4 linked regions of the Nothobranchius furzeri genome follow. The protein of the gene in region 1 purifies or fractionates together with the protein of each later gene. This does not show direct contact. Links are inferred from orthologs where the notes say so. Each region holds a gene or a part of one and is shown in the gene's direction. Other genes may lie near its edges.

Evidence for each region.
Region 2: the proteins of pde6d (region 1) and rab28 purify together in Homo sapiens (affinity purification with mass spectrometry; 3 studies listed by BioGRID and IntAct, with this or other methods). This does not show direct contact. The link is inferred for Nothobranchius furzeri from reciprocal best matches to the Homo sapiens genes PDE6D and RAB28.
Region 3: the proteins of pde6d (region 1) and fbxo10 purify together in Homo sapiens (affinity purification with mass spectrometry; 3 studies listed by BioGRID and IntAct, with this or other methods). This does not show direct contact. The link is inferred for Nothobranchius furzeri from reciprocal best matches to the Homo sapiens genes PDE6D and FBXO10.
Region 4: the proteins of pde6d (region 1) and inpp5e purify together in Homo sapiens (affinity purification with mass spectrometry; 3 studies listed by BioGRID and IntAct, with this or other methods). This does not show direct contact. The link is inferred for Nothobranchius furzeri from reciprocal best matches to the Homo sapiens genes PDE6D and INPP5E.

The regions. Positions count from the first base shown.
Region 1 is NC_091756.1:55,089,911-55,097,851, forward strand, and holds the start of pde6d (retinal rod rhodopsin-sensitive cGMP 3',5'-cyclic phosphodiesterase subunit delta), read left to right. Parts: upstream 1-3,422; 5' UTR 3,423-3,628; coding exon 3,629-3,678; intron 3,679-5,190; coding exon 5,191-5,279; intron 5,280-6,031; coding exon 6,032-6,157; intron 6,158-7,846; coding exon 7,847-7,941. Other genes in the region: rpl36 (large ribosomal subunit protein eL36), read left to right, coding at 1,263-1,352. UniProt on the Homo sapiens protein: Promotes the release of prenylated target proteins from cellular membranes. Modulates the activity of prenylated or palmitoylated Ras family members by regulating their subcellular location.
Region 2 is NC_091741.1:80,044,708-80,052,577, forward strand, and holds the start of rab28 (ras-related protein Rab-28), read left to right. Parts: upstream 1-3,288; 5' UTR 3,289-3,423; coding exon 3,424-3,498; intron 3,499-7,870.
Region 3 is NC_091747.1:78,699,981-78,706,044, forward strand, and holds the end of fbxo10 (F-box only protein 10), read left to right. Parts: coding exon 1-653; intron 654-818; coding exon 819-968; intron 969-1,036; coding exon 1,037-1,173; intron 1,174-1,820; coding exon 1,821-1,891; intron 1,892-1,975; coding exon 1,976-2,128; intron 2,129-2,208; coding exon 2,209-2,559; intron 2,560-2,631; coding exon 2,632-2,942; intron 2,943-3,392; coding exon 3,393-3,577; intron 3,578-5,069; coding exon 5,070-5,250; 3' UTR 5,251-5,641; downstream 5,642-6,064. UniProt on the Homo sapiens protein: Substrate-recognition component of the SCF (SKP1-CUL1-F-box protein)-type E3 ubiquitin ligase complex. Mediates the ubiquitination and degradation of BCL2, an antiapoptotic protein, thereby playing a role in apoptosis by controlling the stability of BCL2.
Region 4 is NC_091750.1:32,695,865-32,703,759, reverse strand, and holds the start of inpp5e (phosphatidylinositol polyphosphate 5-phosphatase type IV), read left to right. Parts: upstream 1-2,785; 5' UTR 2,786-2,910; intron 2,911-3,355; 5' UTR 3,356-3,409; coding exon 3,410-4,161; intron 4,162-5,213; coding exon 5,214-5,337; intron 5,338-5,408; coding exon 5,409-5,506; intron 5,507-5,610; coding exon 5,611-5,735; intron 5,736-7,071; coding exon 7,072-7,191; intron 7,192-7,313; coding exon 7,314-7,421; intron 7,422-7,501; coding exon 7,502-7,663; intron 7,664-7,730; coding exon 7,731-7,846; intron 7,847-7,895. UniProt on the Homo sapiens protein: Phosphatidylinositol (PtdIns) phosphatase that specifically hydrolyzes the 5-phosphate of phosphatidylinositol-3,4,5-trisphosphate (PtdIns(3,4,5)P3), phosphatidylinositol 4,5-bisphosphate (PtdIns(4,5)P2) and phosphatidylinositol 3,5-bisphosphate (PtdIns(3,5)P2).

The DNA.
Region 1 (7,941 bases):
CTCGACATTCTTCAAATATCCAAAAGATGCCCGTACTTCCCACTTTGTCTTCTTTGAGGGATAATAAATGTCCTGAGCGCTGCCGTCTCCTCCTTTGGCCATTATTTCAGCTTTAGCTTCAAGAAAGTTTTGGTTGTAAACAACAAAGCGTGCATGTGCCGCCGGAAACTTCAGCAGATGATACGGTGGCTGGTAAGGGTCACCGCGCCTACACCGCAGCCACGGTAATCCACTGAGATAATAGTTTTTTTTTAAAACAAGACGGTTATTTTTATTGTCAACTTTTTTTTACCGGGGTTTACAGCTACACCGGTTACCGTGACAACCCTACCTGATTGGTCTGCTTTGATCTTTTTGAAAACTCCGATCAAAACCGATAGGGGCGCTATCGGCCCATTGGGATCAAATGCCGATCCATCGGTGCATCCCTAATTACTGGATAACCGGCTCAACCTGTTGAGCTCCTGATGCCCAAACAAATCATTTATCAAATCATTCAACCCTTTAGTAAAACACTTGCAGTTTAGACGTTTTAAAATAACAAATTAAAGTTGAGTTCACTCCTGGAAATAAAATCCACCATCATAGACTACAAACCAGAATTCCTCCAAACCCTAATCACAGCTGTTATGAATGTTGGGGTGTTTCCTTTCTGGAACACTTTGCTCCATCAGTGAATTTGTGCAGGAAATGTCTCAGATGGTTTGTGAAACATGACTCTTGTGACTGAGCTCTGAGACAAAAGTTAAAGTGGGTCAGGGTCACTGGACAAAAGCAGCCTGTGAGATGCATCTCTCCACGTATTGTGGTCCCCAAGCTGTAATTGTTTCACTAAATTCATTGTGGTGTGTTTTATCATACATGAAGCTAGTCATTGCATGGTGGATAGCTGCAGCCTGAGCGACAGTCCTTTCAGAGTGGTTCACAAGGAACTGGTGTTGATTCTGTAGTAGAGTTTAAAAAGATACATTAGCGTTGATCTGACCTTGGTGAGACACTTAACTGAATAGAATAGAGAATTATTTTATTGTTCTTTGGTGGAGAAGTTTTGATGTAATATTTAGATTCACAAGAACAATAAACAGTTGTACAGTGAATAAAATATGTGTTGAAAATGCTCTAGTAAAAATACTGAATTTGATTTGCTACCTATAAAAAATACTGAGTAATAAAATAAATATTTACAGGAAATAAGAAAATAAATTGAAAACTGCAAGAGATGAATGAGGTACACCCCTCTGAAATGAATCTGTTTCTTTCAGATTGGCACTCACATCCGGGCCAAGAGAAAGAGAGAGGAGTTGAGCAACGTTCTGGCTGCCATGAGAAAGGCTGCTGCCAAGAAGGACTAAAGTCTGACTCAATAAATGTTTGTTAAACTAATCAAGCTTCTGGCTACTTTCTTATTATGCAAATGTGTATTTTGATTATCGTAAGAATTTCATTTTATTTTTTAATAAAAATTGTTGGTATAGGTAACTTTTGGAAGCAGCCTGTGTGGAGTTCAAAAAGTAAATCTAAGGTGTGTGTACACAGTCTTATGTGATATTCAATTAATGAAAGGCTGAAATCTTACTGCACAAAACTCAGCCTGAAGTCATATTGTTCTTGGTAGGGGTATGATGGGCCTTGGCTACGCTTGAGAAAGATAGGTGGTGTTTAGTATACTAACAGCTACTGGGTAAAGGTGAAAACTGTTAGGTAGTCCTGGCTTTGATGCTGCTGAATATCCAGCTGGAATGTGCATAGTTATTGAGGGACCTCTTGTGACGCTAGCATTCCTGAAGCTGTGCTGTTACTACTTTGAAGTACACTGTTACAGATTAATGTAAACTAGTCTTTAGACCTACAGTCATTACAACTATTCAATTGGAAGACAGTTTTATTAAAATAAAATCAAACTGAAAGCCTGTAGCCTTAAAAATGCTTGGGGCCATCTTACAAGTCAAATCTAAGATCAAAGCATTCAGGTTAAAAAAAGCTAACAAATCTGAAGCTAACGGATGCAATCCAGATAAGCAACCTGCAAAATGTTTTTTCAACACTTCAAAAATACATCCTTAAAGTTCATTTCTGACCCTGAATGGCTTGGCCTGTTTAATCTTTTAATTGCATTTAAAATATGATTTTATTATCTAAAAACTTATGTTCATATAAAGTCATTCAGCAGCAGCAACCTGTTAGCAATCAAAACCAGTTACAGTGCTAGTTAAAAGAGCTTAAAATAACAAAATAAAATGTTAGTTGAATGTGGTTAAAGCCCAGAGCATAAAGGTAATTAAAGATCCTGTTCCAACTGACTGGAACCCATCCTATTGAAGCATGCTGCATGGAAGGCTTGTGTTGGTTTGTACTTTTGACAAGTTTACCCTGCCAATATGGCGGAATCGCTTACGTTTTTAAACAAGTTTTATTTAACCAATAAAGCTTACAGGCTTACATAAGAATCAATATTTACAGTTGAATTCTGAGCATGACAAAATAAAGCAGGTGTACAAACAGAAACAATAATATTAACCTAGCTCAATATCAACCTGCAGAAATCATAACTATATATATATATATATAAATATATATGTGTGTGTGTGTGTGTGTGTGTATATATATTACATCAACATTTTTAGGGGTAAAGGAAACATTTACCAAATTGTTATAGAGCCAAATGGCTTTCTTGGAACTACATAATTTAAGAGAATCCATAAAGGATGCAAGTTCTTTAAAAAAAAAAACAATAAAGATCGGTTTGATGTTGCCAAATTTACATTTGTGTATAAAGAATTTGGCGAAAATAATCAAATTATTGACAGTGAATTGCTGCATTTTATTTTCCAAACTAATACCATTCTTGATGTCAGAAAAAGATAAGGAGCGTATAATGAAATTATTATGCGTTAACCACGAGTGAAAACTATCCCAGAAAATTTTGGTAAAGATGCATGTGAAAAATAAATGTATCTCAGTGTCTATATTAGAAGTGCTAAAGGCACAATTGTTCTCTCCAATATTAAATTTAGACTGCAAGAAATCTTTGCAAGGATAAATACTGTTTATAGTTTTAAAATGAACTTCCTTGGCTTTAGGAGGGATTGGGAATTTGGGATAGTTGCATCTAATGTTTTTAACATCAGAATTACTAAATTGACGCACTAATTCCCGTCTTCTAAGAGGTAAGGGAAAGAGGGCGTCAGTGAGCCAACATCTAAGGATTTTATTATTGCAGTTCCTGTCCACAAAAGAACAGTTCTTAATTGTTAAAGGATGCATTTTTGGAATAAGGTGAGAGTACGGAATCGCTTACGGAGGAAACTGGTGTTTGGTTTTAACGGCGAAACGCTCTATCCGTTTCCGTCCCGCCTACTTTTCTTTCACGCGCTGTGATTGGTTCGTAGTAGTTCTCGTTCCCACTGAGTGGCTGTGAGAGCTGTCTGTCCGTGGGCGGGTATGTTTAGCTGATTGCATTATTGGAATCGGATTTATCCTGTAGTCTAACTGTTCTGGATTAATTTCGTATTGCCTGCTCTATTCCTGGCGAATTTCGACTGTCCGGTTGGCCTGCTACGATAAAGTTAACGGCGTCATTTCCCCCCCACATTCTGGATAATCGGTAATAAACGGAAACTGTCCCGAGATGTCTCGGAGTGAGGAAAGGGCCAAGGAGATTTTGAAGGGCTTTAAACTGTATCCTTCCACTGGGTGATGGTAATGTTTTTCACGGTTAAGCTTGATGTGTTGTTATAACTACTGCTGCAGTTAGAAGTCGGCTCCTAAGATTCTAAAACAGCTAGCTGTTCATGCTAACTAACCGTTAAATGGCAAAATTTCCGACGTGCTAACAACCTGTAAGTTGCTGCCTGTTGGTGTGACTGATTAAATTCGGTTTTATGGGGCTGTTACCGATCAAACATGTTGTCTGAGCGTGTCGTGGAAGCTGCTAGTTCCGTTAGCTCCATATGTAAGCAGCTTTGCGTGAGGACTTCAGGTGGATTGGTGCTGCAGCTGGCCCCCTGTGTGTGCTGCTACCCAACCTGAACAGGACCTTTGCTAGCAACCGTTTCTTTTGGCTGTACCTTTTAAAAGTCCTTGAATCAAACTAGAAACTTTTAAGTGGTTCTGCCGCAGAGTGGAACATTCAACTCCACCTTTAATTGGAGCCAAAGTTTTGGCCACGAGCACCGTCTTGATTTTGAGGGAGGAAAATATTTCATAAAGTCAGCACTCTGTTCACTGTAGCACCAAACGTGAGTTCATCATGACAGCTGTGTGGTGTGGTGATGACTTTTATAATGTTTTACGTGATGACAACAAATATTGTAAGAGGTGATTTCTGTGGCATGTTCAACTTTACCGGTGAACCCCATCAGCACCTCTGCCATCTGGTCGGATTCTAGAGAAAATCGTCAATCTCATCAAAAGAAAATAAAAAAATGCATTAATTTTAATATATTTTGTTTGCACGAAGCAGGAGGAATAGTTTACTTGAGGAAGCTGGGATGTCCGTAAGTGATGCCATGAGCTGCAGCTGTTACTTTTTTCAATCTGTGATTTTACTCAAATGCTTATAGATATCCAGACACTGCCCATGTTCTGAGTCGTCTGAGTTTAGAGGGAGTTTCTAGGTTGGATGGTGTTTCAATCAATCATTTTATTTATAAAGCCTCTTCCCACCCCCAATGAAGGGGGTCCAAGGTGCTGAACATAGTGCAAAGAAGCAGCACAATAAAACAGCTCTATAATAAAATACAGAGATGAAAACATAAAAAAACAATTAAAAAAAAGAGGTTAAAACAATTTAAATAGTGATCGAAAACATTAAAATGTAAATAAAAACAACGAAGAAACAGATCTCAAATGCAGCTTATGCCTTGCTTTAAAGGTGGGCAGCGATGTGGACTGTTTGATTTCTTGTGGTTCCAAAGCCGAGGACCCCAGAACTGCAAAGGCACGAACAACTGTAAGATGCCAGGAAGCTCATAATTTCAGCGAGATTTAAATATTTCCCATTTGTTCCCAGAGAATTTTGCAGACTGTTGCTGTTTGTTGTTGGACCTTTTCTGAGAAACTGGATTAAATGTTTTTTTTCTGGTTCAATGTTGAATTTTGCCCAGGAACAATCAGGGTGGGTGCAGAAAGGGTCTGGTTCCATTTCTCTTTGCCGTGTTTGCCTGTTTTTACTTAACATCGTGCTGGCAGAAATTGGATGAACCTTCGGGATGCAGAGACGGGTAAGGTGCTGTGGCAGGGAACAGAGGACCTGTCTGTACCTGGAGTCGAACATGAAGGTAAATCGCAGCATACATTATACAGTAGATGGGTAAATGACACGCTCATTACTTTTATTTGAGACTCCATATGGGAGTAAAAACAAATTGGCACAAAGTGTGACAAAACAAAATTCACATAACCGCTTCACATTCCTCAGATCTCTCAGCTCGCTTATCTTTGATTTTAAAGGAGAAACATGTTAAACAAAGGGTAAAGAGGTGATTAAGAAAATAATCTGGCAAATACTTTGAGTTTCTGACTACCTCTACATTTCTACGCCCAAAAAGCAAATTCAACTAATCTCCCACACAACCAGTGCCTTATTTAACACCCATTTAACCAATCAACGTTCAAAAGAATTACCAAAAAGGGACACTATCTCTAATGATAAAAGTTAGGATTTGTTTTTGCCCTCCTTTTTTTTCTGCAGCTGAATTTTTTTCCCTCTATTTCCAAGTTTAACAAATCAATAATTATATTATTAGACTCTATTCACAGCTGTTCTAGATCATTTCAACCCTCAGGAGGCAGGCGTTGCAGATTTGCAACGTTAAAACCTACCTACCTGGTTACTCCACATACGTATTTCATGAGCAGTTTTTCCTTTTATCAAAACTTATTTTAAGCTCGAGAGGGTTAATAAAAAGTAAATATTCAGTAGTGATGGGTTTCACCCTGTCCTGTGGGCTCCAAAACAAATCTGATGGTTGATAATATCCAGTAGTTTGGACGTGTTGACCTAACCGTGATGTCTCCTCTCCTGTCTCAGCTCGTGTCCCAAAGAAGATCCTGAAATGCAAAGCGGTGTCCAGAGAGCTGAACTTCTCTTCTGCTGAGCAGCTGCAGAAGTTTCGGTTGGAACAGAAAGTTTTCTTCAAAGGCCAGTGTCTAGAAGGTAATGTGTGAAACACACTCTTTCAATACAATCTTTATTTTAAAAAAGCCTGACATCTAGTCCTAAAAGTAGATGGGGGGGGGGGGGGGGTCTGCCCAGTGGATGGACACTGGAAACATGTTCCACAAGAGAAGAGCACACCTGTAGTAGACCTGCATACCGACAGCTCAGGGCTTTGTTGGGAACATTTGGAACGAAAAGCTCTTTAAATGAAGTAAATTAGTTCGATGACGATGAAAAAGCTGATGGGAGCGTGTTTCGGTGCTGATCCTAACATCTCATGGGTTTACCTCCACACACCTCCTGACCCCAGAGACGAGCCTGAGCTAAGAAATGGTGTTGGGTGGTTCTGGTGTTTTTCACAGCTGCAGAGTGTTTGCTTCAGTTTTTAATCTACATTTCTGTCATTTTATGAATGAATATCTGATTTGGATAATTTTGTATTTATGTTGAGTGTTTTTTAAACCGTTTTGATGGCCTCTGATTAATTTGATCAGAAATAATCAGTAAACATTGTTAAGGGGAACTGTGCAAAGAGGAAAAAAACAGTAAATGGTCACTGTTCTGATGTCTAAATTATAAATTTAGAGAAGGTGGCCAATTTTCTTGTTTTTTGATTTTTTTACATGAGATTTGTGACGGATGAGAATCTATAATTTCTTACTTTAAAAAAGCCCAAGATCCGCTGTAGAAGTGGTCAGGGTTTTAGATTTGATCCCCTGTTCATCAGTTTGACTCTCCTGATGTAGAACCAGTAATACATAAGCAACCAGTGAGACCATCAAAAGAGCCACGATAACAAATATAGACACATATATCCCTTCTGATGAAACCAGCAGGTAAACAGGAACACACGGATGTGCTAAAATGTAAAATATCGTAGAAAGAACAAACAAGATCACGTAAAGAGTCCGCTCAGGGAACGAGGAGGTTCTCGTGTCTCTGCTCGTGTGTCTGGAGAACTGTTCCCAAGGAGCTACGGTTACTGGAACGCCCTGGAGAAAACATGGCTCTCCCATCACAACACATTCACTTTAGTCACACTTTCATTTCGAGTCTGGAGATTTCACGTCTCCTCACAAATGTTTCCTGGCCACAGTGGTCTGTAGCTCAAAGCCCTGTGGACATTACACACCACGCAGTTTCAGCTACCGATGGTGAAGAATTAAAGCCAGACTTGGCATAGACGCTAATCAGTTAAAACATTTTTATCTAGAGATTTTTGCATTTGAGATGTTTTAGATGTGTTTACATCTGCTGATTGAGACCAGGTTCTGTAGATCCAGGCGGTTTCAGAGCAGATTCCAGGAGCAACTGGCTCAGAAATGGCCCAGAACCAATCAAGTGGAGACACACACATGTCAGGAAGCTCCTGTAAATGTACTCTGAAGTTCCCACAGTGGAAACGCACCTAGTGAGGTGTTTTCTAAAACCAGACGGGGGCTTTACTTCTGCTGGCTCCCCCCTTTCAAAACAGAGAAGGCTGATTTTCAAGCAGAAGGGGCTCCTTCCGTGTCCAAATAAAAGTTTAGCAGACACCTCATTAGACACGAGCCAGTTCTAATGAAACCTACCCTGTGATTATTAAACAGTTTCACAGTAAGTATAACTAACTTCTATCATAAAAATGTCATGGAAGGTTTATTGTGGAAGCAGAGCTGAAGGGCGTGTCTGTCTGTCTCTGTGCAGAATGGTTCTTTGAGTTTGGGTTTGTAATCCCAAACTCCACCAACACGTGGCAGTCCCTGATAGAAGCTGCTCCGGAGTCCCAGATGATGCCAGCC
Region 2 (7,870 bases), on another chromosome or scaffold:
TGTAAATGCATGCAGCGTTTGTTGGCCTGAGAGCAGGAGGAGGCAGGCTGAAACAAACCCACTCCCAGTTGAAATGTTTGATTTGTGTCAAATGGCTGATTAGATTGAATTAAAACATATCAGACATTTCATTCATGATGCTTCTTTTTGTGGGGTTTTGGGACACGAGTGAGAGGAAACACATTAGAATTACATACGTCTGACTGTTTTATCTAAGCGCCATGATTTTTAAAAGTAATGCATTTTATTACACGTGATTAGTGATGTATTCATTAATATTAATATTTTTGCCATTGCAAATTAAAATTTCCGGAGTCGTCTGGACAAAATGTATTTTTCTTCTTTCTGCCCATTTTTCTGGAGTTTGGAACAGAAACTGGATTGTTGTTTTTCCTGGACCAGGATTCCTCCTAGTGTTAAAATGATCCCCGAACAGGAAAGACTGACAGGACCATGTCATCACAACCAGAGGAGTATTCTGGTGTTAAGGAGCTCGGCGCACCTAGACGTATAAGCAGGTTTTTCACTTTTAGCAGAAGGCATCTGAAAACTATTTGTCTTTTATTGGAGTGAAATATTGCATGAGTCGCCTCATTTGTGACTCTTAACGTCTAGGAGGTAATACAGGTCAGGAGTTGCTGCGTCGCTTTTCACTGACTTTTTATTTCCTTACAGACGCAAGGAGTCTGACTGTAGATCAGCGCGTAAAGAAGACCTGGAGTCTTCGGGATTTGATCTCATATCAAAATAAACCCAAAATAAAAAGCCAACTCGCGGCTCTGAAAGCACCCTTCATTCCCAGCAGCAATCAGCTGACATTTAAATGATCCAATTTCAGAAGTGTGTGACATCTGGCGGAACTACCTTTATTACTCATCAGTGCATGTTTTGGTTAATCAGAGTACTCTCGTCTTTGCCATATAGGGACTATTCTCTCTTTAAGGTGCCGATTTGTTCTAAATCGAATCAGTCTGACGCAGGTTTGCGTGCCATCACAGGCCACAGTGCGCTGCTTCTTCATGGCGCACTGAAGGCTCCGCGTCTGTCTTAGAATAGGTGACCTAATTTTCTGTCCCCAGTTTCCCTCTCAAGCCATTGTTAGTTTTTTAAATAATATTTTAATATAATTACGCTGATTTCACACTATATATTTTAAATTCACCTTTTGTTTAGATAAATAAATCTTTATTGGACTTTTCAACTCCTGTAAAAATAGTAAATAAAAGATTTTTTTAAAGCAACGTTCATGTGATAATTTTAGTTTTTATTGTGACTTATTTGGTTTCCAATGGGATTTATCCCAATTTGAACGCTTGTTGTTAACAACTACGGCGTTATGGTCCATAAACCTGGAGCTGAACAGCTTATTTCGATTTTTTATATTTGAAATACAATTTTAATCGCTTTGTTATTTTAAATTTTCATTTTAGTAAGATAAAACATAATTGTGATGGGACACCGCAGCAGATTCACCGATGAGAACATCAGTCAAACGCATTATTGTTTATTCACGCAGAAATCATTAGATGGGTCTTAACGTAGCTATAACTAAAACAACCATGTTCATTTATGTTTTGAATGTCGCATTTTTATCAGACATCTATTCTCAGAGATTAATTTTAACCAAATGTGATTTCTGATTCGTCATGTCAAAATGAGCTCAGCTCGTTGGATTTTGTTTGCATGCATCCTTTAGGTCGAAGCGCTCCTGAATTTTCTAGATATTTGCACAAAGTAACTTTTATTTGAACTAAAACATGAACCCACCTCAGACAGAGAAATAATGGTTGTCCCTCACATGTAAAAAAAAAAAAAACCCGAGACTTTTAACACTATTTGTTTTTGTATTCAGTAATGAAAGTTCTATGTGATCAAGTGTTTAATAAAAAATATACATTGTTTACTTATAATTCATCCATGCACATTAAACCCGCTGCAGAATATTTTAAATTAAAGCACGAAGCATGTAAGTCTCTTATTTTTAAACGCATCCTCTCTTTTGACCTATTTTCCTTCTTTTAAAAAGTGCCTCCCAAAGTTTTCTCTCCTTTCTTCTTTTAGCAAAACTGTCAGCAGACATGAGAGCATCTCATGACAGAGAGAAGCTGCCACCTGTCTCAAAGTGGCTCAGGTTCAGGTTTCTTTCCGCTCAGCGATATCTGGGAAGACGAGGAGCGACATTCAACAGCAAATCTAATCCCAAACACCAGGAAAAGATGTTTTCTAAACTCTCTCACTTTATCATTTCACACGCTTGGATTTGTGAATAAACGTCATTCTGCAGAAAAGAAAAGTGAAGGGAAATATTTCTGAAGTGAGATGTCCCGTGTCTTATTCTCTTCCAGAAGCAGGCCACATTTATTTTCTTATCTCCAAATTTATTTCACGGATTCTAAATTGATTTTCCAAAACAAAACAAAACAAAAAAAAAAAAAAAAACAAACAAACAAACAAAAAAAGAAGTGAGAAATATCAATGTTTTCTAGAACATATGGACAAAAATACCATAGTAAATGCCTGAAAGTGTGTAATTTTTATTCATTTGCTCATTTTCATGGCTTTATAATCGAATTTTGAATCACGCAAAAATTAACTTCAACCTATTGCAACAGGAAAACGCTGAAAATATTTTGTTCCGCGTATTTGAACAAAATGATCGCTTGTGAAATATATAACTGAGATTCAACTAGTTACATAATCCTTAGCAGCAGGATTATAACGTCAACTTCTTGCAAATTCCTTATAATATTCAAGATTTGCTTCACAAAGATTCTACATGCCTAAACATCGCTGGAAGCGTTTGACAAAAATTAAATAGAGCAATTATCGATAATTACAAGTTTGTTAAGTGTGTTTCTAAACGGATGCATAACAATAATAATGCCCGATACCCAATATGACGAGATTGTCTCTTCAAATATTTTATTCCATAAAAAATGTATACAAAAAATAAATCAGCAAGAAATTTAAATGTGGAATATTAAAATAAATGAAAATTAAATTATAATTACAAGTTAGAGGGAAAATCTTTTCTTCTATCGACATTTGCCGTTACCATAGCAACAGTAGAGCGTTACTCACAGGACTCACATGCGATCCAACTTCCGGTTGTAATCGTTTCCTGTTGAGATGCTACAAAACAAAAAAAAATACAGACTGAATTACAATGCTACGGTTACAATACAGTCTTTGTGGTGGTCGTTATCCTAGTTTAAAAATAAAACGAACCCTCCAAAAAATAAAAAATAAAAACGTTGAGGCAGCAGCGCGTGCGTGATGCAAACTTCGCAGCTGCAGCCTCTAGCTGGAAGTTAAAATGGCGTCTGTTGTAATCCGTCAGTGATCGCTCTGATAGCTGGACTCAGCAGCCTGTAACTGGTTACCAGCGTTTCTCTGTCAAACGTTTAGAGGATAGCTAGCAAGATGTCGGACTCGGAGGAGGACAGTCAGGACAAGCAGCTCAAAATTGTCGTGGTTGGAGACGGAGCGTGTGGGAAGGTGAGAGCGTAGCAGCAAAACGACCACTTGTTGTTACGCGCTATTAGAGAACAGCACAGCTATTCTAGCGTCACATTTGTCGGCAAACTGTGTTTTTGTCTGTTGCGAGACTTTTCAAAGCAGCATCCAGCTCCTGCTGACACAGCACTGCCCTAGTCACCATGGCGACCGACGCTAATGCAGCTAGACAGGCTAGCATCATAGCTAACAACAACACAGCACAAAAACAAAGCAGCACGGAACGTCAAAGCTTTTCCTTCTGATTTTAGCACCGCAACTTAAACACTTAAGTTAACACCTACATCACGTTTTCTTTGTTTTGTACTGCAAACGTTTAAAAAAGACAGGGAGAAATGTGTGAGTGTGTGTGTGTGTGTGTGTGTGTGTGTGTGTGTGGTTTGAGAATATCTCATGTCACAACTTCTGCGTTTATCAAAATAGTTAGTTAAATAACACAAAACAAATAATGTCAAACCTTTTGTGTGCAGTATTCAAGCTGACATCTTCAAATATCTGTTATGTGTTGTACAACACAAAAACATCTTTCTTTTTAAAGATATTTGTGTTGTGCTCCTACTAAAAAGGATTGCTTAAGCGATATGTTTTTCATCAAAATGCCTTCATGCTTTCTTATTAAAACTACATTATAATAATTTACATATCATTGGAGGGAATCTGAAATGCCTGCTCAGCCATTTGTAAGGTTAGTAAACCATGACCTTTCTCCTTTATTCACCAGAACTGAAGTGTTAGCTCTTAAAGGCTGACGACTTGGTGGAAATGTTAATAAATGTACATTTGTGTTTACTAAAAAAAAGTACTGTTTTTTTAATTGCTCTAGTTCGTCAAAGTAGCTTTGCATAAAAAGCATAAACAAAAAACAAATAGATAAACAAACAAATAAATAAAAATAACTGGATGGTAACCACTTAATTAGATTACTAATTTTAGCTTTATTTGGATACTAAACAACTATGTTAACATGTCATAATGCAGTCAGTAGATTCCCTAAATCAAATAGTATGTTTCCAATTATTTATATTTGACTTAATACAAAAAGTTTACATGTTGAAAACAACAGAAACAATCATGAGGAATAACAAAGTTATAAAAATGTGCCATTTTCTTTAAAAACAGAATTATTTTTATTTGGTTTGCAGGAGGGGAAAGCAACTTTATTAAAGTGATAAAAATCAAATAGCATTCATGCAAAGTTGATGAACAGTTAAAGTTATGATTCTGTCTTAATGATGCATTTAAATCGAACACAAATCCGTCATTCTAACCACTTAAGTCTATCCAGCTTTTAATCCATGATGCATGTACTATTGAGTGAAGTAGTAGACTTGTGTCTGTGTTGCTGTGTTTTATTGTAACGGCAATTGTTTACTTTTGAGTAAATATACAGTTTCTTGCATCAGTGCATTGCCAAGAAGCACACTTTAACTAGAAAATCAGATTTGAAATTAAGTCTCTTTTTCAAGAATGCCCTGAGCAGACAGCACAGATTAAGACCTTACAAGTTACAAAAATCAAAACAACTGAAAACCATAATTAGCATTTTTATAATGTTGCTTGACAGCCCGATGTCTCTGCCTGTCAGTCATTAAGAAAACTGTTTTAAAGGTACCACACTCCTGCAGCTTATTTAAACTTAATTTCTACACGGAACAAGGCGTCTTTAGACTATAACCACCTGGTTCAACACTGAGTAACACACAAAACTTAATAGTTATATGTCATACCCTAAAACTGCTACTGCTGTCTGGCTAAAACATCGTACTGTGCAGCATTAATAGAAGAGTACGGATGCTGAGGTCTCACAGCTGATTGCATCACATGGCCAATATATTTACAACCCCCCTGCATGTGATTCCAGGGAGAGCCCTATTTAGGAAACATGTGTCTGGGGGAAGCAGTAGCTCAATAGGTTGAGCTGGTTGTCCAGTAATCGGAAGGTTGCAGGTTCGATCCCGGCTCCGGACAGAGAATTCTGCTGTTGTGTTCTTGGGCATAGTTGCCTGCTGGTGGTGGTCGGAGGGTCCGGTGGCGCCTGTGCTCGGCAGCCTCGCCTCCGTCAGTGTGCCCCAGGGCAGCTGTGGCTACATTGTAGCTCATCACCATCAGCGTGTGATTGAGTGTGTGAATGGATGAATGATACACTGTAGTGTAAAGCGCTTTGGAGTCCTTACTCTGAGAGGCGCTATACAAGTGCGGGTCATTTATCATTTATCATTTATCATCATATAAGAAACTTTACTGTCTTTTAGTGGTTTAAGACAGAGTCACATACTTTATTTATAGATATCTCCTCAATTAGTAAAAATAACACACCATTAAATCTCATTGATAAATCATCATTTGCTACTCACATTTGACCTTGGGTTCACTTTCAAAGTAAAAAGTGATTAATAATCATTACAGCTCAAACCCAGCCTTGGACTTAAACAGAACTACACAGGAGATTTTCACTAAACCATCATCTGCAGTGAAAGCAGGGTGGTTGTCATGACAACTCAACCATGTTTCTTCTTCACTGCACCTTGACTCCCAAGCTGACTGTGATTGCCTTTCAGAAACACATCCTCTTTTGTAACTAATCTCTTCACCCTGTGGGAGAAAAAGAAAACGAATGTGTCTGTAATAGTGAGCCCCAATGAGGAAAATGAATGCTCTCATGGAAAGTTGACTTTTACTCTTTTGGGAGGGGCTCTATCTGTGTGTGTGTGTGTGTGTGTGTGTGTGTGTGTGTGTGTGTGTGTGTGTGTGTGTGTGTTGGTTTGTTCAGGGGACACACACAACCCAGTTCCCAGTAGATACGCTACATTAATAACCCTCCTCACTTTGCTGCCAGGTGTCAGCTCGTCTCTGTCTGAATGACTTACCTGCTTGTCCGTTTTGGACAGAAAACAGGAGCCCTGCCCCCCATTTTGACTCGGCACCACTGACTGACATCTTGAATGCCGTTTCCCCCCCTTATTAATGTCAATTTGCTGAGCAAATTGCAATCGTATCAGTTTTTCTTGGACAGCCTTTTCAGTGGTATTTTTTGCTTGCGGTTGGTTGTCCATTTAGAATATAGGCAGATGTGGGAAGGCTTGTCCACCTGAGCAAGATGTTTTTAAAATATGGACTCTTGCATTTAGCCAGGCTCTTAAGATGGGGAGCTGAGTGTACACACTGGTCTATTTTACAACCTGAGTTAGAAGCCTCTCAGTTTTCCAATATTTGCTTCTCTGTGACCCATAGGACAAGAAGGAGCTTTAGGTGCAGGTCCTGAACCTTAATTATTGCTAAACTCCTAATCAGACAACATTTATGTCTATCAGAACTTTTTAAAGATTAAACGTTTTGTTACAGAACTGTAAAAATGCTTCTCCTCTAAGTAGCATCGCATGGTCTTAGCAAGTTTCTTGTTTCATTAGCCCTTCCCTCATTTCCCGGCACTGGTATCAGTGGTGACCCTGTGCTGTTCTGTGTTGGAGTGTCAAGATTATGCCAGCAATTACATTTCACTGGTTAGTTCTTGTTGTGCTGTGGGAAAGAAAGGAGAGCCAAACTACTAGAATGCCAAAAGAAATGGCCGACCGGGCCAGTGAGAGCATGTGGAATACATTTTTGCTGTCCCAACAAGTTAGCCTTATGTTGTTATTGATTGTTTGGGCTACTTAAATGGCCGATTTTCTCCTTGTTGCATCAGTCACCTCTAGTAATTTCTCAGTCACTCACAAGGCTGTGACTAGTTTTACAGGATGAGGAAAAAAGCTCTATAGATCACTGATATTTTTAGTTGTCAGGCAACAAAACAAACTTTATACCCAAAGAAAAACAATCTGTTGTGTCACAGAAAAAACCTCATTTACAGAAAAATTGAATAATACATTTGAAACGCAAAGAAATCCTAGATATTAGGACCTTTTCCTAATAAAACAGTGCATGCCAAGAGTTCTAACTATGGATGCTTCAATATGAGAATTTGGGCCAATATCAATATCTGATATTAATATTGTGGTCATGGCCAAATACCAATATTTACCGATATTAGAATTTTATATACGCACACTTATTTCAGTTTCTAAGACGATTGCTGTCACATAACCAAATGAGGTGACAGGGAAAGTGCACTGGATCAGTCTTCTCAGTTGTTGCGTCTCTAAACGAAAAATGGCCCTTTGCTAAGACGTTAACAAACAGTAGCCATTTCGGTGGAAAGTGACATAACTGATCAGTGACAAAAGGTGCCCACAGTCACGGACATTAATAACATTAAAGACTTTTTATTAAGGCTGAAACGATTCCTCGAGTACCTCGAATAATTGGAGTACAAAAAAGCCTCGAGTCAAATTCTTTGCCTCGAGGCTTCGTTTAATTC
Region 3 (6,064 bases), on another chromosome or scaffold:
GTCTGTTGGACAGCTGTGACTTTTCAGGAAGTGACACAGCTTCAGTGACTGTGGAGGGCCCCCCAGTGTCCGAAAGAAACTGGGCTTGTAAACATTTGACTTCCCTGGCCAGGACATTCCCATCTAAGTTCAGCAGCTCCCCCAGCTGCCCTCAGGGCAGCTCCACTCCTGAGCCTAATCCTCCAGGGGGGGTTGCAAAGGAGTATGTGAGCATGGAGGACTGGAAAAGAAGGACAAGTGGAGAAGCAGTTTGTCAGGGCACCGTCATCGGAGACGGCTGGAGTGATGGTGAGCACAGCGAGGGGGAGGAGGAGAAAAACACAAGAAAACTCTTTACACTGGATTGCAAAATCCCATGTGAAAATCACAGCCTGTCCCATCTGCTGAAGCCTCGAGCGGACGGCTCTCTGCCACTTGCCTCCTCCTCTGACCCTCCGTCTGCGGCCCCTGACCCCCTCACCCTTCAGCAGGAATTAGACAGGGACCCGGAGGCTCAGATCCTAGCCTCATCCATCCTTGGCTGCATTTTGAGACGCTGCCTCTTCAGAAATGGGAAGGGAGGTGTACATTTGTCCAATTATGCACAAGCTCGTCTGGAGGACAACGTGTTCCGTGGGCTGAACTACGCTGTCCGCTGCATCCAAAACTCTACAGTAAACCCAACCTAAATAATATTTGTTCATGATAAATCTGTCAAACGCACCGTTACATCTTTAGAGATTTCATTTCCTTTAACGTACAAACTTAAGGAGCTTGCTGGAGTCATTAGTAATTCAGCAGCAGTGTCACTGGAGCTTCCTCTTTCCCTGCTTCTCCAGATTGTGATGCTGAGAAATGAGGTGTGCGAGTGTCGCGCGTCAGGTGTGTTTCTGCGCCTGTCGGCTCAGGGCCTCATCGCGGAAAACAACATCCACTCTAACGGGGAAGCCGGGCTGGATATCCGAAAAGGGGCCAACCCCATTATTCTGGTAGAAACAGCTTTAAATGTATTGTCTGTGTTCCTGTGTTCTCCGTTATTTCCTCTTTTGTTCTGCAGTGCAATAGGATACACAGCGGTCTGCGTTCTGGGGTTGTTGTCCTTGGCAACGGGAAAGGCTCAATTCGGAGCAACCTGATCTATAACAACAAGGAAGCCGGCGTGTATGTTCTCTTCAGCGGGAATCCTGTGGTGAGGTGAGCTGGACTCCAGAAACAGGATCACGTCTATCCCACACTTCCCATCATCTGGACATCACTCAGTGTTTCTGTATCTTCTAGAAATGTAATCAGAAGCTGTTGTTAAAAACCAACAAACATTTCTTTACAGATGATACGCTGACATGTCCGTAGAGCGACACTCATTAATAACGCTTCCTTTGGCTCTGGTCCGATTGCAGCTGTTCTACCGTCATTATTACGTGATTTACACCTGAAAATCTTTCATATTTACTGTATAAAGCTAAAATATGATAACGGAGTCTAGTTGCATCATAGAAATCATTTATCAACAATTTATTGATATCGTGCCAGCCTCAGTCACATCTGTAGTTCAGTTGTAGCTCTAAACGATCTCAATGCAGATGGCAAAAATAATCCTAAAACACTTAGATGAAGGCTGCATGGTGGCACAGTTGGTAGCTCTGCTGCCTTGCAGCGAGAAGGTCGCAGGTTCAAATCCCAGTGTGTGAAACAACCTGCAGTTGGTGAAGCAGCAAATGTGGCATAAACCATCTTACATAACATCTCTGAGGAAAAACTGGGGGTGGATGTGTTTATGCATCAAATAAAAAAAAACTCACGTGTTTCTGCAACGTTTAAGTCTGAACCGTTTGCTTTCTTAGTGGGAATCACATCTTCCAAGGCCAGGCGGCAGGGATAGCCATTAACGAGAACGGCAGAGGGATGATAACGGGTGTGTATTTGTGTGTGTTTGTGTGTGTGTCTTTGCTATGTTGTTACCAGTCAGCAGGACTAAATCTACACATTTTCATCCCAGACAACGTAATCCGAGAGAACCAGTGGGGCGGAGTGGACATCCGCAGAGGAGGTGACCCCATTCTGAAGAACAACTACATAGGCTACGGCTATTCCGACGGCGTGGTGGTGGGAGAGAGGGGGCGTGGTCTAATTGAGGGAAACCAGGTGTACTGTAGGTGAATTCAGCCTAATAACAGATGAGGAGTGGCTTGTTGCAGATGCTTCACCTCCTCCTGAATCTGACTCAATCAGGTAACAAAGGCTGCGGTGTGTGGGTGATGTCCTCCAGCCTTCCACAGCTGCTTGGGAACTACATTGTCCACAACTGCATGTACGGGCTGGCAGTGTTCTGCAGGAAAGACCCGGAGAACGTTGAGGCCAGGGAGGGGAACTGGCCGGGGCAGGAAGTAATAGGCGGGGACGCAGCCAGTGGGGAAAGAAGAGGAGCAGAAGGTGACGCAAGAGAAGGCCAGGAGAACTTTAATGAGGAGGGTGAACTGTTTGCTTGGGAGAGCGATCTGGACAGTGAGGATGAGCGCCACTCTGCTCGCCGCTCCATCAGCGTGGCCCTGGTCGAGAGCAACTGCCTCAGTTACAACGGAGGTAACAAGTTCACATAAAACACCACGCATTACCTTAAACCCCTGACCGTGTCCCTCCTCTGTCCCTCTGCAGCTGTTGGTCTGTACGTAAAGAGCAGCGAGGCCCTCAATGTTTTTGCAAACCTAGTGAACAGCAACTGTGGCCCTGGCATCGCTGTGCTGCAGAGCAGTCAGCTGACGCGGCTCGTTGCAAACTGCATCGTGAAAAATGGTCGAGGCGGCGTTGCGGTGGAGAAGGACTGCAGGGTGGAGCTCCGTGGCAACGGCATCTATGAGAACAGCGGCCACGGCGTCCGGTTCAGCGGGAACGGGCAGATAGTGGAGAACGATGTGGTTGGTAACGGGGGAAGTGGAATCCAGGTTTCTGTGAGCTCTGATATTAAGGTGAGATGAGGTCACTGTGAAGCAGGTTTCTGTGATCTGCTAGCATTTATGCTTGGAAAGGACTCGATGCTAACTTGACAACGATTTAAAGGTTTAAAAGGGGATGAACGGCTGTGAAATTTTAGAAACTGGAGCATTTTCAAGATGACTATATTTGGATTAGCCATTAGCTCATCAATTCTGAAGGACTCGACTCTTTCTGTGAGTAGAAGCTGTTCAGAAAGCTAGCGGTTTATAACATTTCCCAAATGCACGATGGTGCAGCTGGTAAATGCTTTGCAGCAAGAATGTATCGGGCTTACACTCCAGCTGCAGCCTTTTAGCACAAAGTTAGAATATTCTCTTCATGCATGCGTGGCTTTTCTCCAACAGACCAAAAACCTGCATGTTAAATATAAGCTGTAAGTTGCTAAGTGAATAAACCAACTGTTTACTGATTTGTGTCTGTAGGTGGTTCGTAACCGTGTCCAACCAGCAATGGGCTGTGGCATTGCTCTGCTGGGGCCACTAAAAGCCATTGTCCGTGACAACATCTTGTTCCAGGGTAACCCGGAAAACAAAAAGTCCCTCCTGCACACAGACTTCATCAGTGAAAGTTGTGTGTTGCGCAACAACAGTATTTTGAGACATAACAGGTAACTGAGATCTTCAGATGTCATCATAGCCGCCCGGTCCTGCAGCTTTTAGAGTGTGTTACTTTTATGTTTAGCTCTGCAGCTTCCTGATAATAATAAAAATGTAGGGATGCAACGATACCACTTTTTTCCAAACCGATACGATACCAATACTTGGATCTGAGCACTCGCCGATACCGATTACCGATACCGATACTTCTACCACACAAAAAAATGAAATGAATTGGAATACAGATTTTATTTTCTTCTCTGCTTTCAACAGGAAAAGACTGTGAGGTAGATAAAAAGTAAAATATATGAATGGAAATCATCACAAAACTAAAATATTAGGTGAACAGAAATGACAAGTTACAAGGAAGCCATTTTCAAGCAACTGCATTGGTATCGGTTAACTTTTACCGATACTGATATTGGTATTGGTATCGGCGCCGATACCGATACCAGTATCGTATCGGTGCATCCCTATAAAAATGCACTGTGGACATTGAATTCTGCACCATAAAGCAGTAGGTTTGTAAACATACGAAGACATCTGGTAGATAAAATGTATACATTGGCCTAGAAATCTAGACAAACCATAGCAGCAGCTAAAGACTGCTCTGCAGGATGGCTTACACGTGGGCCAATGGGATGTGCAGATGGTGTGGTCCTGTTGGTTTCATCAAAACGTGATCTCCGCCTGTCATCGGAGCGGTTCGCAGCCGAGTGTGAAGCAGCTGGGATGAAAATCAACTCTATATCCGAGACCATGGCCTTGAGTCAGAAAAGGGTAGAATGCCTTCTCTGGGACCGGGATGAGGTCCTTCCCCAAGCGGAGGAGTTAAAGCATCTCTGGGTCTTGTTCAGGAGTGAGGGAAAGATGGAGCGCAAGGAGAAACAGGTGCATACGTTGTACCAGTCTGTTGCAGTAAAGAGACCTGAGTCAGAAGGCACAGCTCTCCATTCGTCGGTCGATCTACTTTCCAACCCTCATGGTCACAAGCTCTGAGTAGTGACTGAAAGAATAGTGACAGATACAAGCGGCCAAAATGAGTTCTCCACAGGGTGTCTGGACCTTAGAGATAGGGTGAGAAGCTCAGTCATCCGGGAGGGTCTCAGAGTAGATTCGCTGCTCCTCCACATCAAGAGGAGCCAGTTGAGGCGGCTCGTGTATCTAGTTAGGATGCCTCCCTGGTGAGGTTTTCCAGGCACGTTCAACTGGGAGAAGATCTAAAGGAAGACCCAGGACACGCTGAAGGAATTATCTCACGGCTGGCCAGGGAACGCCGTGAGATTCCCCTGGCGGAGCTGGCCCAAGTGGCTGTGGAGAGGGAAGTCTGGGCTTCCTCGTTTAGGCTACTGCCCCCGTGACCCAACCCCGGATAAGCGACCGAAAATGGATGGATAGATGGAAGGACGGCTTGCATGGCTAGCAGCAAACCCTAAAATCGCCTGAGTACACCAAACATCGGTTTAAAATAATACTGCCTTTTCTTTTTTTCCCATTTTGTAGCTGTACACCTGCTCCGGCCTGGGTTCTGGAAAACCCTCCACCTCGCCCACTTGCCGGTTCTCCTGCAGGCCTTTCCTCATCCCGGTTTCCTTCCCGCCTTGGGATTTCCATGACTACCAGAGTTGGAGCCACGGTGGAAAGCGGTTGTCACAGTGGCAGCATGTTCTGCTCCATCCTGTGAAAACCGGATATGGACTCCCGACTGGATAGGATCACGGACTCTGACCTGCTGAAAACACGTCAAGGAAATTTACTTCGTTTTTCTGAAGGTTTCACCGTGGTCGTAACGGCCTAAAGGCACCAGATGAGAAAGAAAACATGCTAGGAGGGCACATTGTGTAAATCTGTGCCGTCACTTTTCAAACTTGGCTTTAATACCCATTCTCATAAAAAATATTTACTATCAAAATGTATTTATTTTTCAGCTATTTTAAAGTGCCGTGTTGGTTTCCACTCGGGCGTCTCGTCGGTGCGTTCAGGGGTCAGGTCTGATAGGATTTTATATTTCTGCTAAGTTTTTGGCAGTAGAGGTTGAAGAAACATCACAGATGTGATCTTCTGCCCAGTGTTGGAGATTAAAGCAGACCGGACGCACTTCAAAGCAGCTGAGAAATCCCCGAGTCCTCTTGTAGTCTCTCACAGGCGTTACGCTAAAATGTTCTTTTTCAGGGTGACTTTGGATTGTTCCTGAGATTTTCTGGTTTAGCATATGCACATTCACAAACCCGAGCAGGAGTCCAAGGCTTCAGGAAGTCACATTGTGCCTTTTTTTACTTCAGAAATGAACTACTGTAGCCACAATAGGGGTGTTGATCGTTTAAAATCTATGCAATAAAAAAAAAAAAAGGCAAAACGAAGTTTATGCCTCGTGCACAGAGTTGTCTCCAGGTGGGTCGGGACAGAAAGCAGGTTTCAGCTTCGGCTCATTTTAATGGGATTGTTATTGTTGAAGATGGCGTTGATGCGCTGCATGGTGACTCACTTGTGGGCCATTC
Region 4 (7,895 bases), on another chromosome or scaffold:
CTTTCCTTTTATACCTAACCCACAGACTGGCCCTTTGTCCAAACTCCCCGAGTCAGCAACGTCATAGAAAAGCACAGAATATAGAAGAATTGTCAACCTTTCCATTGGCCAGTGAGCTCAGAAATGCTTTCAGTGGCTGCTTCTCGTACAACACGGGGGTCAGAGAGAGGATGAAAGGGTTAACAATCAGAGGTCACACTTTGTCTTTTCTGTACCATACGCACAGTTTTGTCAGCAACATTCTTCGTTTTTTGTGACATAATTTGCTGATTGTGAAGTCACTCACTCTAGCAGGATGTGATGCATGTAGGGAGCTGTTATGAGTTTGTGAAAGAGTAAAAATACTCATGGTGAAAATTACAATAAAAAATATTCATTTCCCAGATGTTTACATAAAAAGACAAAGTTTGATGTGCATGAGCACGGTGGTTTTTAGTGAACAATTAACTGGCAGTGTTTCAACAAGTGATGTCAGTGGGAAGGTTTAATTAATTTAATTAAAAAACAGTTTTAAACTAAATATAGGACCATATATATGTCTATAAAAATACAAATACTCTATCTCAGAGATTAAAGAGCAAGTCACCCCCAAATCAACCTTATTTCCCTGATAAACTGTATAAATGTGTGTCTAATCGTGCTGCAGACACGTGTAGTCAATAATTTTGCACTTTGGTGCATTTTAGTTCAAATTTAATGTTCTGCCTAAAACTGTCAGTGTTGTGCCGTTGTCAGGTAAAAACTCTGCTCTGCATTTGAATTTAAATCTGCCATCGCTATTGGCTAAGAGGTACCCTAGAAGGTTAGCTGGTACCATATGATGTCACAATGTCATTAGCATGTGGCTGTGTCTCAATTCAGGGTCTGCACCCAGCCTACTCGGCTGGCGTGGGCTGGGTCCTCCGTCGGCCGGGTAGACCGGATGTTAACGGCTGTGAATTTGGACAGGCCTAGCCTTCATGAATTCCCGCCGCTCCCTCGGCGAACGTTCCGTCGCCTAGCAACCGTGGAACCGCTGAGCAGAAGGGAGAAGGAACTTTAAACGATGGAGCTCGAAGTTTTATTTAGCTTTTTAATCATTTCCTTGACTGTTGGAGAGCTAATTCAGAGAAATACTTTCGACAAGCTGAGCCTGAGCAAAGATGTGATAATAGTTTTTAATACTTTCTAAGGGTCTTCATTTGACCAAAACCCATTTATCACCTTTTAAGACTTTAAGACCCAGCGGATACCCTCTAGTAAACAATTCTCATTTGTAAACAAAAATAAAATTCAAGAGTTTAATACAGAACTGGTTTTATTTAGATATTTCTTTTATATGTTCATGTTTAATCTTTATTAACCATTTTTTCTGTCAAAGTTCTCCCTTCTCTCCTGTGCCCTCTGCTGCTCTGCCTCCCTCTGCAGCCTCATGTCCTCCCTGATCAGCTCCAGAAGCTGGTCATCGCTGTCACCTTCCCCTGGATGCCCATTTCCTCCAGAATAGTCTTAACAAACATGTAAGAAAACAACAGGAAGAGAAAAGAGGACAACGGGTTATTCCTTTCATGTTTTCACAGAAAAAACTAAACTTAAAATATGAGATGTTATTGTACCTCCATGCCACAGCCGCCGAACACTTTGCTCCGGTGATCATGTGGTCCATCTCCGCCCTAAGCTTAATAAATTCCCTGGTTTTCTCTTTTGTCCCTAAAATACAAACTTCTATTAAAATCTGGGGGAAACGTAGCGGGAGAAGTACGACACCGAGCGGCCGAACATACGAGCCGAGACCGCAATACAAGCACTTTTACTGTAACATTTCTAACTAAAATAACGTTCATGTATCACCAAAAGTCCTTAACCTAACAGTTTAAGTTTATACTGACATTTATATGCACAATCCTCTCCAACAGCTCCCGCTTCACTGTCCGCCATTGTTTTTAAAAGTTCTGCCGTCCGACCCGCAAGGCATCTTGGGAAATGTAAACCACTGAAGGATACACCGGACCCATCCTTCATTCAGGCAAAAAGAAGGCCGCATTCGTCGACCGCATTTGAAGGAGTCTTCGAACTGGGACAGGCCTAGTCGCGGCGCGGTGACGTAACCGGCCGACGAAGGATGCAGACCCTGAATTGAGACACAGCCTGTTTATTTGTTAGCGGCTCCGCCCCCTCGGTCTGCTAGGCAACAGCATTTGTTGCAATTTTCAAACAGGAAGTGGGAGCGGAGTTAGACTCTGGTAGGGGGTGACTTGTTCTTTAAAGTAAAATAGAATACTGATCTGCAAAGAAATAGGACATCCTTTTAGTTTTCTTCATTTAATACAAGATAATGGATCATAATCATCCAGATAATTCAGGACATTTTGATGAAACATTTTCTTTACTACTACTGTTTATAAACTTTTTTCAAGACCAAATCGTAATCTGTTTACTTTTGGTTGTTTCAGAAAAATTAATGATACAGTTCTGTAGTCATACAGAAATAGCTATTTGTTATACTACTACTACTACTACTACTAGTACTACTACTACCAATAATAATAATAAATAAACAAACACAATATTACTATCCCACTTCTTTTTAACCATGATTATAATTGAGTGAATATTTAGTTATCACAACCACATGGTTTGTTTTTGTGCATTTGTTTTTATTTTTATTGTTTGTTTGTTTAAGTAATTACAGTTACATTTTAGATAATGCACTTTAGAACTTTATTCGTAGCAGATTATTCATCAGCAGAAAAATAAATAAAAGACGGGATCCCAGTTGCAGTTGTAATCTACCTTCTAACCAGACGGGGGCGCTGTGACGTCTCGACTTCACAGAGTGACGCTCTTGGTAACAAAATCTGTTGTTAAACGTTGCTAAGGAAGTAACGGAGCTTCTTTTGGAAATAGCCAGTCTGGGGGCAGTAGTTAAAGGTAAATGTACTTCACTCATATAATTGTGAAAGAAGTATTGGATGACAAAAAATAAAACGACCAAGGTCCATTATTACGAGTTAAAAACGTCGGTTTAGAACGCTATTTAGCTAGCTGTAAATATGGAGACATAGCGGTTTCTAGCATTTAGCTTCATCAGCTACAACAAAATACACAGTCTGCTTATGTTGTGCCAAAATAACGTTTGTAGCCAAATTAGGTGTCCGACACGCTAATTCTTAATAAAGAGTTTGCTCATTTTTGTTGATGACGGCTTTTTATTTGTTAGCTGCATTAAACATGAGAAAATGGGATATTTGGTCTGTTTTTGCTATTCAGATAGCATCAAACCCACCAGTAAACAGATCAACTTTAATGACATTGTGGCTAAACTTATTTGAATTTTTCATTAAGTCGTATTTTTTTCATATCTGCTGGTGTTTAGCGATGAGAGAGCCTCATTCAGCTGGAAGCAGGAGTTTTCTGACATAAGAAGAGGATGGCAGCGAATGGGGAGAACTGTACTCTGTTTTATCCCTGTGAGTCATCTGAAAATGGAGAGAATGGCACAGACAGGGGGACCATCATAAAGTCCTTAGGGGTTGTAAAATCTACCTTGGAGCAAAATGAAGCTTTTGCAACTATTGCTAGAAATGCGCCAGAGGAGACTACAAAATACCACCCTCGGGCCCCGCTGGCAACCAGCCTGTCAAAGTGCAGCAAAAGAAGTGTCTCAGCAGAGGAGAGTTTAAGAACCAGGAGGCTGAACAACAGCCAGGAGAGCCTGAGTGACAGAGCTGAGACCGGCTCCTCCACAGACTCGCTTAAAGACCAGACAGAACCAGTCAGGAACGAGGAGGACTTCGATGTGAGACCTCAGTCTGCTATCACTACAGGATCTCCTGTGAGCAGTCTGTCAGAAGATGAAAGCAGGCCACAGGGCCTGCAGAGTGTCCTGGAGGACCATCAGGGATCCGGCAAGGTGCGACTGTCTCCAGTGCATCCCACAAGGACACACACTGCTCAGAAGAACAACTTTGTGTCAGCCATTAAAGAGCTACCTAATAGGATTGGTAAGGATTGTTCAGATTATCCCGCCCTGACCACAGAGAGGACTGGAGAGAAAATTCACAGGAACCTGAGTGGCAGCAAGCTTCTGGAGAACATGGGGTCAGATAGTGGCTCTGTAAACTCCTTAAAGTCCATCTACAGCGTTCTTAGTCCCATCAAGCCCAAAGACGTGAGAACCAGGTAGGTTAACCTAGCAGGCCAGGCAAGTGAAGGCTTGTTATTCCTACTTGGTAGTTAGAAGCAGGCTTTAAGGGTGGAGAGTTAACATAATGACACTGGGAAAGTAAGCACATGTAGGACTTGCTAAAGTTTTATTATTTATTTATATATAAAGGTTTTCTGCATTTTTTGTTTTGCATGTCAAATCCACTACATTTGTCTTTATCAGGTCAAGCTCTAAAACGTAGAGTCCAGTTCAGTCAAGACGTTAAAATCTTATGTAAAAATAAAAAAGCAATTTACAAAGAAGTATTTCATTTACAGAGATGGTGAAAGCTTAGGAACTGATGGAAATAAACTGATCTGGTCATATTCTGCGTCCTTTTGGTCCCCAGCCCCCTCCAGGTCTCCCTCATGTTCCCTCTAGTCACTTCATACTTAGTTATCCCATCCCATTTAGTGTTAGTCTCCTCATAGACTCAGGCGGTGGATCAGGAATCTAGGGAGCCAGCGTCTGGGGCACAGGAGGTGACGGGTGAGGACCGGGCTGGTGGTGACCACTGCTGCTGACTGGCCTGTAGGCGGCCCCGGCCCCCCAAGGTTCCCCAGCTCCACCGCCTGAGTCTCCGGCCTCTTGAGTCCCTGGCTTCCCGGGGTCCTCCTGGCCCTGCCTCATCGCCGCCGGCGCCCCAGAGTCTTCTGGTCTCCAGTAGGAGGCGGGGACGAAGACTCTAAACTGGGGAAACTAAGGAGACCAGAACCAAAAGAGAGGGAATCTATGAGGAGACTAACACTAAATGGGATGGGATAACTAAGTGAAGTGACTAGGGGGAACATGAGGGAGACCTGGAGGGGGCTGGGGACCAAAAGGACACAGAACATGACAGATATTTGATGCCTCCTAATCATAAATGTGACTTAAAACATCCACATCATTTATAAAGGATGAGTGAACCTTGTACATTTCCTGAATTTATACATTAGTCAACAAAATGCTTTGGAAAATGTCATAATTGGCTGATGATAAAACTTCAAACAAGGGTTGATTTAGCTTTCCAACGCCTCCATTCCAGGAGCTTCCTAGAGGGCAGCATGCTGGGAAGTGGTGCTTTGCTCGGGGCTGAGGAGCTGGACCGATACTTCCCCAACAGGAGGGTGGGATTCTACGTGGTCACGTGGAACATGCAGGGTGGGAAGGTAGGAGGAAGCCCTGAATCTGCAGCATCTCACACCAAACCAAGTGGTAACTAAGCTTCTGTCCTTTCCAGTTCCATCCAGCCACCTTGAACGATCTCCTCCTTCCTACAGATTCTGAATTTGCACAAGATTTTTATGTCATTGGAGTCCAGGAAGGGTGCCCTGACAAGTTGGGTTTTTCAGAAATGAGATGTGCTGTGATTAAAAAAAGAGGTTGTGATTGTTGTAAACTGTGTTAAATTGGTGTGTGTGTGTGTGTGTGTGTTTCTGCAGAAGGGAGTGGGAGACCTGTCTTCAGGAGACTCTGGGACCTCACTACGTCATGCTGTATACAGCATCACATGGTGTTCTGTACCTGACTGTATTTACCAGGAGAGACCTCATATGGTTCTGTTCAGGTTGGTTCTGTTTCAGATCTGGTCGGCAGTGGTACCCCCAAGAGGGGGCATGGCCACCCCTAGAAAATTGCTGGCCATCTCACTGGCCCCCCAGGGAAGGCCCCTCCATTTTAATAAATCGTATAAATGTTCACCCAAAAATTAACCTTGTTCAATCAAGACATCAAAGTAAAACCTTATGAAAATAGAAAATGAGTAAATAAAAGAAATCATAATCAAAAACATATAAAGGTTGCTGCAGCTCACCAAAAAGTAGAATGTCCATAGGTTTTGTAAAGATGGCTGCCCTAGCAAGCCATTCTATATGTAATCTGGCCATGACGCATAGACAGCTGGGATGAGAATCAATCCTCTAAATCTGAGACCATGGTCTCGATTCAGAAAAGGGTAGAAAGCCTTCTCCGGGTCAGGGATGAGGTCCTGCCCCAAGTGGAGGAGTTGAAGTATCTCGGGGTCTTGTTCACGAGTGAGGGAAAACTGGAGCATGAGATCGATAGGCGGATTGGTGCTGCATCTGCAGTGATGCGGGCGTTGTACCGGTCTGTCGTGGTGAAGAGAGAGCTGAGTCAGAAGGAGAAGCTCTCGATTTACCGGTGGATCTACGTTCCTACCCTCACCTATGGTCATGAGCTTTGGGTAGTGACCGAAAGAACGAGATCACAGATACAAGCGGCCGAAATGAGTTTTCTCCGAAGAGAGGCTGGGCTCTCCCTTAGAGATAGGGTGAGAAGCTCTGTCATTCGGGAGGGGCTCGGAGTAGACCCGCTGCTCCTCCACATCGAGAGGAGCCAGTTGAGGTGGCTCGGGCATCTGGTCAGGATGCCTCCCTGGTGAGGTTTTCCGGGCACGTTCAACCAGGAGGAGACCTAAAGGTAGACCCAGGACATGGAACACCTGGCCAGGGAACGCCTTGGGATTCGCCCGGAGGAGCTGGCCCAAGTGGCTGAGGAGAGGGCTCTCTGCTTAGGCTGCTGCCCCGTCACCCAAATCTGGATAAGTAGCTGAAAATGGATGGATGGATGGATGGATGGACCCACAGACGGGCCTCTGTCGTGGGGCAGAATCTATGTCTGCACATGATTGGACAGCGCTCGGACCAATCAACAACATGACATATTCATTGCTGTGAATGAGTGAATGAAGGAACAATGAAATGCACAGCCACAGGCAAAACTCTGCCTGACGTGCCACAAGGACCGATTTGGTGCGCCACCCCAAAATTCTCACTGGCCCCCATGAAAATGTTGCCGGGGCACCACTGCCGTTTGGAACGAGTGAAGTCCTCTAATGTCTTAGCTGGATTTGTTGGTTTATAACATTTACTCTCTCTCTACAGAGGTGGAACACGCCACAGTCACCACCAGGATCGTCTCTCAGATCAAGACCAAAGGCGCTCTGGGAGTCACTTTTACCTTTTTTGGCACTTCGTTCCTTTTCATAACGTCCCACTTCACATGTGAGTGTGGGACGTTAGCCGTTTTCTCACTGAGGAAAACCTTTTAGTGGAAGTAGGATTTATTCTGACCTGACCAATAGAAACCCATTCTGTAACGGTTTTTAATGCGTTGCCTGTTACAGCTGGGGATAGCAAAGTTTACGACAGAATACTCGATTACAACAAGATCATCGAGGCTTTGGGGCTTCCTAAAAGCCTCCCAGATACCAACCAGTATCGCTCCGACCCATGTAAGCAAACAGTACAGAAATAAAGGCAAACCTGCTGCATGAGTTTCTGGCAGGAAGTTTTTATTCCTTCTGCCTTTCAGCTGACGTCACTTCCAAGTTTGACCAGGTGATCTGGCTTGGAGATTTTAACTTCCGGCTGAGTGCAAACCGTTCCGACGTGGAAAACATCATGAAAGGCTCAGCAGGTGGCGACAGGAGCCCTCTGCTGGAGCACGACCAACTCTCCAAGGAAATGAAAGATGGTACGTGTGAAGCTTCTGATTTCTTTAGTTCTTCCAGGATGTGATGATGTCATTCTTCCCCTCCCAGGTTCGATCTTCAAGGGCTTCCAGGAGGCACCGATACGCTTCCTTCCTACGTATAAGTTTGACATTGGCTGCGATAAGTACGACACCACGTCTAAGCAGAGGACGCCTTCATACACAGTAAACACACACACACACCTGCTGCTGATGTAGCTGGGCTCACAGGCTG